Ovis aries: one gene and its partners. The protein of the gene in region 1 interacts with the protein of each later gene in a biochemical or structural test. Links are inferred from orthologs where the notes say so. Each region holds a gene or a part of one and is shown in the gene's direction. Other genes may lie near its edges.

The links.
Region 2: the proteins of MTOR (region 1) and STAT3 form a complex in vitro, tested with the Homo sapiens proteins (2 studies listed by BioGRID, with this or other methods). The link is inferred for Ovis aries from reciprocal best matches to the Homo sapiens genes MTOR and STAT3.
Region 3: of the proteins of MTOR (region 1) and RPS6KB1, one has a biochemical effect on the other in vitro, tested with the Homo sapiens proteins (18 studies listed by BioGRID and IntAct, with this or other methods). The link is inferred for Ovis aries from reciprocal best matches to the Homo sapiens genes MTOR and RPS6KB1.

What each region holds. Positions count from the first base shown.
Region 1 is NC_056065.1:41,762,802-41,766,484, forward strand, and holds part of MTOR (serine/threonine-protein kinase mTOR), read left to right. Parts: intron 1-335; coding exon 336-432; intron 433-2,320; coding exon 2,321-2,419; intron 2,420-2,712; coding exon 2,713-2,835; intron 2,836-3,045; coding exon 3,046-3,228; intron 3,229-3,636; coding exon 3,637-3,683. UniProt on the Homo sapiens protein: Serine/threonine protein kinase which is a central regulator of cellular metabolism, growth and survival in response to hormones, growth factors, nutrients, energy and stress signals.
Region 2 is NC_056064.1:42,157,019-42,160,701, reverse strand, and holds part of STAT3 (signal transducer and activator of transcription 3), read left to right. Parts: intron 1-622; coding exon 623-706; intron 707-1,568; coding exon 1,569-1,667; intron 1,668-1,773; coding exon 1,774-1,909; intron 1,910-2,817; coding exon 2,818-2,870; intron 2,871-3,112; coding exon 3,113-3,207; intron 3,208-3,333; coding exon 3,334-3,473; intron 3,474-3,683. UniProt on the Homo sapiens protein: Signal transducer and transcription activator that mediates cellular responses to interleukins, KITLG/SCF, LEP and other growth factors. Once activated, recruits coactivators, such as NCOA1 or MED1, to the promoter region of the target gene.
Region 3 is NC_056064.1:10,567,401-10,571,083, forward strand, and holds part of RPS6KB1 (ribosomal protein S6 kinase beta-1), read left to right. Parts: intron 1-838; coding exon 839-951; intron 952-1,761; coding exon 1,762-1,999; 3' UTR 2,000-3,306; coding exon of another isoform or gene 3,307-3,430; 3' UTR 3,431-3,683. UniProt on the Homo sapiens protein: Serine/threonine-protein kinase that acts downstream of mTOR signaling in response to growth factors and nutrients to promote cell proliferation, cell growth and cell cycle progression.

The sequences.
Region 1 (3,683 bases):
AGTGCCAAGTTTGCTAGTTACTGCTGTGTTAGAGGCAACTCTTCCTACACATGCAAAGCTTATCCATGGACTCATCTCTTAGATGTATGAGCTGGTGGCATGGTGATCCCTCCCTGTTGTCTAGAGTGGCAAGGCATTCCCTGGGGATGGTCTGTGTCCAGTCAGGCACTGCCAGCCACCACCACCACCCCACTCCTAAGTGCTCCCAAGACCAAGAACACTGGAGCCACTGCTCTGGGACCCCGCCAGCACTTCTCTTCAAGAGTCTCAAAGATGAGAAAACAGGCAAAACCTGGCAAATTAAAGTTTCTAAGATTTTCCTTTTTCTTTTCCAGAGTTCTCACCTTATGGTTTGATTATGGTCACTGGCCAGATGTAAATGAAGCCTTAGTGGAAGGGGTGAAAGCAATCCAGATTGACACTTGGTTACAGGTAAGGGCACTGGGTTACAGGTGAGGACATTGGGTTACAGGTGAGGGCAGGTAGATTTCAGGTGAGGACACTGGGGTACAGGTGGGGACAGGTGGATTTCAGGTGAGAGCACTGAGTTACAGGTGAGAGCACTGGGTTACAGGTGAGGACAGGTGGATTTCAGGTGAGGACAGGTGGATTTCAGGTGACACCAGGTTACAGGTGGGGACAGGTGGATTTCAGGTGAGAGCACTGGGTTACAGGTGAGGGCACTGGATTACAGGGGGGGACAGGTGGATTTCAGGTGAGGACACTGGGTTACAGGTGGGGACAGGTGGATTTCAGGTGAGAGCACTGAGTTACAGGTGAGAGCACTGGGTTACAGGTGAGGGCACTGGGTTACAGGTGAGGACAGGTGGATTTCAGGTGAGGACACTGGGTTACAGGTGGGGACAGGTGGATTTCAGGTGAGAGCACTGGGTTACAGGTGAGAGCACTGGGTTACAGGTGGGGACAGGTGGATTTCAGGTGAGGGCACTGGGTTACAGCTGAGGACACAGGGTTACAGGTGAGGGCACTGGGTTACAGGTGAGAACACTGGGTTACAGGTGAGGACAGGTGGATTTTAGGTGAGGACACTGGGTTACAGGTGAGGGCACTGGGTTACAGGTGAGGACAGGTGGATTTCAGGTGAGGACACTAGGTTACAGGTGGGGATAGGTAGATTTCAGGTGAGGACACTGGGTTACAAGTGAGGGCACTGGGTTGCAGGTGAGGGCACTGGGTTACAAGTGGGGCACTGGGTTATAGGTGAGGACAGGTGGATTTCAGGTGAAGGCACTGGGTTATAGGTGAGGACACTAGGTTACAGGTGGGGATAGGTAGATTTCAGGTGAGGACACTGGGTTACAAGTGAGGGCACTGGGTTACAGGTGAGAGCACTGGGTTACAAGTGAGGGCACTGGGTTGCAGGTGAGGGCACTGGGTTACAAGTGGGGCACTGGGTTATAGGTGAGGACAGGTGGATTTCAGGTGAAGGCACTGGGTTATAGGTGAGGATACTGGGTTACAGGTGAGGGCACTGGGTTACAGGTGAAAGCACTGGGTTACAGGTGAGGGCACTGGGTTACAGGTGGGGCACTGGGTTACAGGTGAGGACAGGTAGATTTCAGGTGAGGGCACTGGGTTACAGGTGAGGACATTGGGTTACAAGTGAGGGCACTGGGTTACAGGTGGGGCACTGGGTTACAGGTGAGGGCACTGGGTTACAGGTGGGGCACTGGGTTACAGGTGAGGACAGGTAGATTTCAGGTGAGGGCACTGGGTTACAGGTGGGGACAGGTGGATTTCAGGTGAGGGCATTGGGTTACAGGTGAGGGCACCAGGTTACAAGTGAGGACACAGGGTTACAGGTGAGAGCACTGAGTTACAGGTTGCGACAGGTGGATTTCAAGTGAGGGCACTAGGTTATAGGTGAGGACACTGGGTTACAGGTGAGGGCACTGGGTTATAGGTGAGTGCACTGGGTTACAAGTGGGGACAGGTGGATTTCAGGTGAGGGCACTGGGTTACAGGTGAGGGCACTGAGTTCCAGGGGGGGACAGGTGGATTTCAGGTGAGGGCACTGGGTTACTGGTGAGGATGGGTCAGGTCTTGCTCGTTGTCTCTCTTAGAATCATGCAGTGTTGAGAGGAGCACGCACTATACAATGGTAAGGAAGCAGCGATCCACCCCCAAGGTCAAGACTCCACATTTTCTTCAATTCCTTTAGAGAACTGAAAAGGATAAACCATTTCCATGCCCAGCAGTATCTATCAAACCAGTTGCAAGAGCTGTTCATGGCTCAGAAGAATAACTGGAGTTGTTTCCACATCTCATAGGCTGCATACTGTGTCTTTCTGAATATCAGGTTATACCTCAGCTCATTGCAAGAATTGATACGCCGAGGCCCCTGGTGGGACGTCTTATCCACCAGCTTCTCACAGACATTGGTCGGTACCACCCCCAGGTGCGTGGAGTCCCCGGGCACTTTTCCGTCTAACCACTGACCTTTGATTTGGCCATCAACCTTTCCTAAACCGCTCTAGGGACGCAAATGCCCCTGGGAGCCAAGAGTCCTGTCCTGCCCCCAGGAGCGTCTGCCCAGCTGACAGGCTCAGGGACCCAGGGTCTTCTGGGAAAGAAAAAATTCCGCCCAAGGCCACACAGCCCCTGCCTGGTAGACTTGGATGAGTGTCAGCACCATACTCTTGTCATCCTCCTTTTACACATTTGCAAACGCTCCTTCTGTGCTTGCTTCAGGCCCTCATCTACCCGCTGACAGTGGCCTCCAAGTCCACCACCACGGCCCGGCACAATGCAGCTAACAAAATCCTGAAGAACATGTGCGAACACAGCAACACCCTGGTGCAGCAGGCCATGATGGTGAGTCCAGGCAGACTCGAGCCACCAAGCAGAGGTCTCGAATGAGACGCTCGAGCCACCAAGCAGAGGTCTCGAGTGAGACGGCCTTCCTTCCTCAGGGCGAGGCCGTGTACTCCCTCTGCCGGAAGGAGTTCCTCCTGTTTCTCCGAGATGGGCCTTTCTGAGCTTAGCTCACCCTTAGCACGTCCCTCCATCCCCTTTCTGATCCAGGTGAGTGAGGAGCTGATCCGAGTGGCCATCCTCTGGCACGAGATGTGGCATGAAGGCCTGGAAGAGGCATCTCGCTTGTACTTTGGGGAGAGGAACGTGAAAGGCATGTTCGAGGTGCTGGAGCCCCTGCACGCCATGATGGAGCGGGGACCCCAGACACTGAAGGAAACATCATTTAACCAGGTATGGGATAAAAAAAGACATGAACTGACGGGACCCCAAAGTCTTTAGCAGACTCCTTTCCCTCTAACCTTTCTGCTGACTTGAATAAAATGTATTTTAATGGAGGGAGGTCACAGGATATAAAACACCAGAAATAGAATTGTCATGAAGTTACAAGAACCCTTCCAAAACTTTAACTAGAAAACCACGAGGTACCTCACAAGGCCATCTCGTCTTTCTTCCAACCTCACTTTACCTGAGAAGCCATCCTGAGGGTTGGGCTCCAGGACTGGAAAGCTGCCGAGCAACCCAGCCAGTGCCGTCCGGCCAGCATACCCTCCCGAGCAGTTCTGCTGCCTGCTGGGGACTCAGAGTTGGGCTTAGTCAACACAAGTGACACCTTATTCATTCTCCTGCTTCCCCTCTCAGGCATATGGTCGAGATTTAATGGAGGCCCAGGAATGGTGCAGGAAGTA
Region 2 (3,683 bases), on another chromosome or scaffold:
GCAACCCATATGTCAACAGCACTAGAGTGGATCAGTGATCTGTGGTATAGGCAGGTGATGGAATACTATACAGCTATGAAAATGGATAAATTGCAGGTGTACACAATTACATAGGTGTGAAAAGCGAGTCACAAAAGAAGGCACAGGGTATACTTCCATATGTATGAGATTCACAACCCCCCCCCCAAATTAAACAACACATACATTGTTTAGAGATATAAATGCAAGAAAACCATAAAGAAGGGCTAGGAAATGACAAACTCAAAAGACAAAATAGCAAGCACTTCTGAGGTAGGAGGCTCAGGGAGGGATGGAGTTGGGAAGGGCACTGAGAGAACCTCCGTGGTGATGGTCTCTGCCTTAAACTGGGGGTGTTCACTCTTGTGCCATTATGCTGTTCCCATTTTATCCATGAGCAGTCGGATCTCCATAGTATCATCATAAAGCCGGTAAGAGATCAGGTTGTAGATGAAAGCACTGGCGAGTCGGAGAGTTGGCAAGACCATGTGCTCCAGTTGTATCCATGGCCACCGGGCGGATTGCACCTCAGGACGGTGTAGTGAAGGCTGCCAGGACTCAATGCCATCCTCTCTGAGGAAAGGCATCCTTCTCATTCTTGTAGGCCTCCCTGATTGTGACCGAGGAGCTGCACCTGATCACCTTTGAGACTGAGGTGTATCACCAAGGCCTCAAGATCGACCTGGAGGTGAGTTCTGCACAGAACTGGGTAGAACTGCCTGCAGGATGGTTCAGGATGAGGCTTCTAGTCAGGGTTTTCACTCCAGAAGGTGGAATGATGACTCTTTACTCAGCACTGTGTTTACATTTGCTTCTTTTTCTCCAAGAATTCGTTAGTATCTTGCCTGAGTGCTTAGAAGATACGTGTCTACTCAGGTTCCAGCAAACTTGATGTAAAAACTTGTATTTAGGAATTGATTATAGCCAACTTTATACAGTTTGGGCAAAATAGTCTTTCAAACAATCGCGGCATTTACCTGCTCTTTCCCCAACTTTCTTGATCTTTAAATTAAAGATACACCTGAAAAAGCAAGAACCCTAGTCTTTGATTCCTGGGACCTCTCTATTAAATGGGCAGATACAGCTTCAGTACAGCAATGTGGGAGACTTGGGTTCGATTCCCCTGGGTTGGGAAGATCCCCTGGAGAAGGGAAAGGCTACCCACTCCAGTATCCTGGCCTGGAGAACTCCATGGACTGTATAGGCCATGGAGTCGCAGAGTTGGACACTACTGAGCAACTTGCACTCTTTTCACAGCTTCAATTCGTGAATGCCTTCCAAGTTTTATAAATGGGGAGTCTGTGGACTGTGAGTCCACTGTGAGGAGTCAGCTTTATAAATTCCTGGTGATACTCAGACAGCCCCTGAGTTCAGCCTACTCTCCACGCTGGGTGTCGAGCTGACCGGGCCCCACCGCTTCCTGAGGGCTGGCAGCAAGTGTACTCCACGACCTCTCCTTTTATTTCGAACCCTGCGAGATGCGGGTGAAGAGGTTTCTGGAGCCTCAAGGGCCCTCTGCCTCCCCAAATCATTGCCCGCTCCCTCCACAGACGCACTCATTGCCAGTGGTGGTGATCTCCAACATCTGTCAGATGCCCAACGCCTGGGCGTCCATCCTATGGTACAACATGCTGACCAACAACCCCAAGGTGAGTCGGGGGCCCGGGTTCTCCGGAGGCTCCTTGGTGCCTCGGGGCTGCCGCCCAGCAGGCGCCACCCTTTCATCTAAAGGAGCGAATGTGTCATTTCCAATAGAACGTGAACTTTTTCACCAAACCCCCGATCGGAACGTGGGATCAAGTGGCCGAGGTGCTGAGCTGGCAGTTCTCCTCTACCACCAAGCGCGGGCTGAGCATCGAGCAGTTGACGACGCTGGCGGAGAAGCTCTTAGGTCAGCCCTTGACCTCTCCTCCCTTTGCTCTCCTTGTAAAAGGAATCTGGCTCGTGGGGCTGTTCATTGAGGAGAGTTGACTGAGCAAGGCGCTGGGCAGAGCACGTGTGCTCCAGCAGGCCCTGGAGTCAGGTCGCAGCGGAGGTTTGCGGCTGGTGATCACTTTTATGAGACGGGAGGCAGATTTCTTTTCTGTTGGTGGCTGTCTCCCTGGGTACTTTGTCCAGCCTTAGGAAGGTATTTTAAATGTATGTTAGAGCTAAAGGCTTGGCATCCCTGTCTGTTTCTTCAAGAAAATGTAGCTTGTTTTTATTTTTTTTTCCTGGAAGAAAAAAGTCTTAGAATGTTTTACGTGCCATCTGTGCTTTGTCCTGCGCTGCCACTAAACATGGGCTACCCAGGTGCCTCAATGGTAAAGAATCCACCTGCCAATGCAGGAGACTTGGATTTGACCCTTGGGTCGGGAAGATCCCCTGGAGGAGGAAATGATAACCCACTCCAGTATTCTTGCCTGGGAAATCCCATGGAAAGGAACCTGGTAGGGCTACAGTCAGACATGACTGAGCGCCTGAACATGCATGACTAAACGTGACCCTGTAACTCAAGCTGTCAGCTTCTTAGTGTGTTCTGCTGATCCCCAGACTGCCACACGAGGCTAGAAAGGGCAGCAAGGACTTGATATATCACCTACCACCTCTGCTGAACAACAACTTAGGGGGCATCAAATGATGGGATTGGGTGTGTGGGAGGGGTGCATATGTATGCACGCAACAGTGGCAACATTCAAATACATGAAGAGCAAGTTTCAGGGCATGTTGTGGGACAGTTGTGTGTGTGTTCTATTTGAAGAAAGATCTGGATTTAAAACTGCAAATCCTATGACTTTTTTTTTTTTTTTTTAATTTCAGGACCTGGTGTGAACTATTCAGGGTGTCAGATCACATGGGCTAAATTTTGCAAAGTAAGCCACCGTGTGAACTCCATCCATGAGGCTGCCTCATAGGAGGAGGAGGGGGCAGGGACACTTAGCTGTGGGGATGTTGTGGAGGGCAGTGGGCCTGAAGGCCCCGGACTCTTGGTCTGGCGGCCAAGAGGACCTGCCTGAGGGTAGATGGGCTTGAGGATTTTGGTGGCACCTCACCCCCTTAAAGGAAGAGCCCAGGGAGGTGGGGAACTGAGCTTTCCCATTACTCTTTTCTCCAGGAAAACATGGCTGGCAAGGGCTTCTCCTTCTGGGTCTGGCTGGACAACATCATTGACCTGGTGAAAAAGTACATCCTGGCCCTTTGGAACGAAGGGTAGGTTGGAACTCTTGTGTCTGACAGAACACACAGGGGTGACAAGTCCCCTACTCTGCCAGCAGGCTGGCTGCATACCAGAGGTCCCTCAGCCCCAACCTTGCTGTTGCTCCTCTCTGTCTCCAGGTATATAATGGGCTTCATCAGCAAGGAGAGGGAACGGGCCATCTTGAGCACTAAGCCCCCAGGCACCTTCCTGTTGAGATTCAGTGAAAGCAGCAAAGAAGGAGGAGTCACCTTCACCTGGGTGGAGAAGGACATCAGCGGTAAGCTTAGCGATTCCGCACCCCAACTGGTGGCCAGCACGGCTGTGGCTGGCCTTGGCTGCTGCTAGTTTCAGGCACCTGCTGCCCCCTTGTGGGCGGGGATGGCCTCGCACTCCCCTGCCTCAGACTTGGAAGGTACCCGGTGATCAGTTTTATGAGATGGGAAGACTTGGCTTCTCTAAATTCTTCCAGCTGGAGGATTGGTTTGCC
Region 3 (3,683 bases), on another chromosome or scaffold:
CAAAGATGATTAAGGCAGAGTCTGGTCCTCTTGGTAGTAAGCTTCAGCCCACTAGAACATGTGTGGAAATGGCCTTGGTGGTCCACATGTAGCGGTCACAAAGCATGTGCTCTATAGAATTGCACCTCAGTCTTCAGGATTTCACCCAAAGCCTTATTGAGTCTTTTTATAGTAAGTCAAGTGCCTACTTGTAGGTCACAAGGATAATAGAAAGGAAGATAGGTATAGGATTAACTGTTACAGGGATGAACATTAACAGCAAGATAAATGATAGGCTGGTAACCTAATAGCCAGGTCCAAGAAAGAACTAAGGCTACCAAACTGCATTATTGCCTGTTACAGTTAATAGTTTTCACAATGTTGGCCTTTATTTGTCAGGAAAATCCAAATCTATTCAATCATTAGCATAAAACCAGAAAGACCATATTACCAAGTTAGAGAATTCTGTTTTTATTTTGGCCTAATAATGAGAAGCCGTTTGGGGGATGAGAATGTTAGTTGCTTATAAGTATGTGGCTAGAAACAGTAGAATTTCTCTGCATATATCTTTGTATTTAACATCTTAATGTAAGAGCCTGTATTTTTCCTGTTTTGTTCTACTTCTTTAATACAGTGAAATTTAGTTTGCTGGCCTTTGTGGTTCAATAGAATTCTGCTGTCTTGGGGTCTATGCCTCTTTCGAAATGGCTGGAAGGAAGGTAATGGGTGTGAAATGAGATTGAAGAGGTTGGAGAGTAATCACATTGGTGATTTTAGGTGTACATCATTATCTTGGTGTGTCAGAGACCGAGCAAAACATTTTCCCGACATTCTGTAGTCCACTGTTACTATCTTTCAGGGTTTTACATATGTGGCTCCATCTGTACTTGAAAGCGTGAAAGAAAAGTTTTCCTTTGAACCAAAAATCCGATCCCCTCGAAGATTTATTGGCAGCCCACGAACACCTGTCAGGTATTCAGACTTTGTTATTATTTTTTAATCTAGAAGAAAGCACATTGTTTAAGAAATTTATGCCAAGTTACATAAATAGAAAATCTGTCATCCTGTTTGGTTGGTGTAAGCACAGCATCTCTACCTTCTTATATTGCAAGTCATCCGTTTGTGACTAATCAATGAGAAAATGCTATATAGTTTACCTTCCCTCCTGAAAGTAAGCTGCTGCACTGGAAAGTGTCCTCTTTAACCATTCATTCAACATTTATTATGCACCAGGGGTTGTGCTGTGTGCTAGGGACACATGGTTATGACAGGAATTGTCCTCGTCCTGAAGAAGCAACATGGGGGCTCCTATTCATGAAGGAGCTAGCCATACAGAACAGAGAGGCACGGGGGTGTTACAGGCAGAGGAAGTGCATGCGGAAGTCCTCAAGGAGGACAAACTTGGCTGCCTTCTTGGCCATGAAAGGGAGGTCAACATTCCTAAAGTGTGGTGAGTGAGGAAGAAAATGGCAAAGGTTTGGAGAAATATTTTATTTTAAATGCAATGAGAAGCTGTTTTAAGTAGGAGAGTAAAAAATGAATTTTTTTTTTAAAGTATCACTGATGGTTTTATGAGGGCAAGTGTGGAGGTTAAGAGACTAGTTAGGAAAGTAACAATTAGTCTAGGGGCGAGATGGCTCAACTTCTGCCTCTGTGCCAATCCATACAAAAAGGAAATTAATTGAAAAAAAATCACATTACCCCACTTGCTTTAAATGTAAGGGAAATGTTTCTTGTTGAGATAGTACTTGAGACAAATGATAGCTCTTCCTTGTCTTAAAGCCCAGTCAAATTTTCTCCTGGGGATTTCTGGGGAAGAGGTGCTTCAGCCAGCACGGCAAATCCGCAGACGCCTGTGGAATACCCCATGGAGACAAGTGGGATAGAGCAGATGGACGTGACAATGAGCGGGGAGGCTTCAGCACCGCTTCCAATACGACAGCCAAACTCCGGACCGTACAAAAAGCAAGCTTTTCCCATGATCTCCAAACGACCAGAGCACCTGCGTATGAATCTATGACAGAACAATGCTTTTAATGAATTGAAGGCAAAAAAGGTGGGGAGGGGATGTGTGAGCATCCTGCAGGGTGAAACAAGAAGACTCAAATGACAGTCTCGAAGAGTCAGTGTCATGACATAGAACACTTTGGACAGAAGAAAATTAAACATGGATTTTAAAAAATCAATCAATGGTGCAAAAAAACTTAAGTGAAAATAGCGGAACTCTTAGGCACATCAATTAATTGATTCCTAGCAACATCGTCTCAACCTATCAAGGATTTTCATGTTGATGGCTCGAAACTGACAGTATTAAGGGTAGGATGTTGCTTCTGAATCACTGTTGAGTCCTGATCATGTCGAAGAAGGGTTATCCTTCCATTAGGCAAAGTATGAATTTGCCTATAATACTTGCAACTAAGGACAAATTAGCATGCAAGCTTGGTTAAACTTTCCAGCAACATGGAATCAAAGATGAAAAAAAACTTATCAATTGATGTTTTACGTGCAAACAACCTGAATCTTTTTTTTATATAAATATATATTTTTCAAATAGATTTTTGATTCAGCTCATTATGAAAAACATCCCAAACTTTAAAAATGCAAAATTATTGGTTGGTGTGAAGAAAGCCAGACAACTTCTGTTTCTTCTCTTGGTGAAATAAAAATGCAAATGAATCATTGTTAACCACAGCTGTGGCTCGTTTGAGGGATTGGGGTGGACTTGGGGTTTATTTTCAGTAACCCAGCTGCAATACCTGTCTGTAATACTAGGAGAAAAAAAAAAAAGAATCTACTTAATCATTTCTATTTGCAGTACTGTTCTGTGCTAAGCTTAACTGGAAGCCTTGGAATGGGCATAAGTTGTATGTCCTTCATTTCATCCTTATCCTGGGCCTGCATTGCACTGGAAAAATACCGCCACTTTATACCAGTATTTAGTTCAAGACGTCAAACATGTTCAGCCCGTGGCTGAAGGACAGAAGCGAGTCAGGATAAAATGCGTATCGTGGGGCGGCAGAGAGGAGGAGAGGAGGGAAATCCAGGGGAAGAGGGTGTTGCCATGGTCCACTCTCTTGTGTCTAATGTCTTTACAGCAATTTGGTAAGGTTTTAAGTTTTACTTCTTTTTACTGATTTTGCTGTCTACCTTCCTTATATTTCTTCCTCAATGGTTTTAAAAGGAAAAAAGATTTTTTTCTCCTATATTGGGGCTACATTTTTTGCTTATAAAAATATTTGATGGCCTTTTGATGAATGTCTTCCACAGTGAATAAAACTTAGTGGCTTAATTTAGGAAACATGTTAACAAGACACTATGTTTTTGCAGTTGTAACAAAGTCTACATAAGTGATTCACAGATACAAAGAATAAAAATAAAGGTAACTTTACCTTTCTTAAATACTTCCTGCCTTAAGAGCATTTCCGTGACTGTAGATGGTGAAAGGGTTTAATATCTGCAGAGCTTTATAAAAATGTATTTCAGTGCATACTGGTATAATAGATGATCATGCAGTTGCAGTTGAGTCTTATCACCTCCTTTTGTTTGTCTTTTATAATGTCTTCAGTCTGAGTGCGCAAAGTCAATTTGTAATATTTTGCAACCCTACAATTTTTTTAAATAGATGCTGCTTGCTATGTTCTCCAGACCTTTTTGAGCCATAGGATCCAAGCCATAAAATTATTTATGCATGTTGAATTCAACCA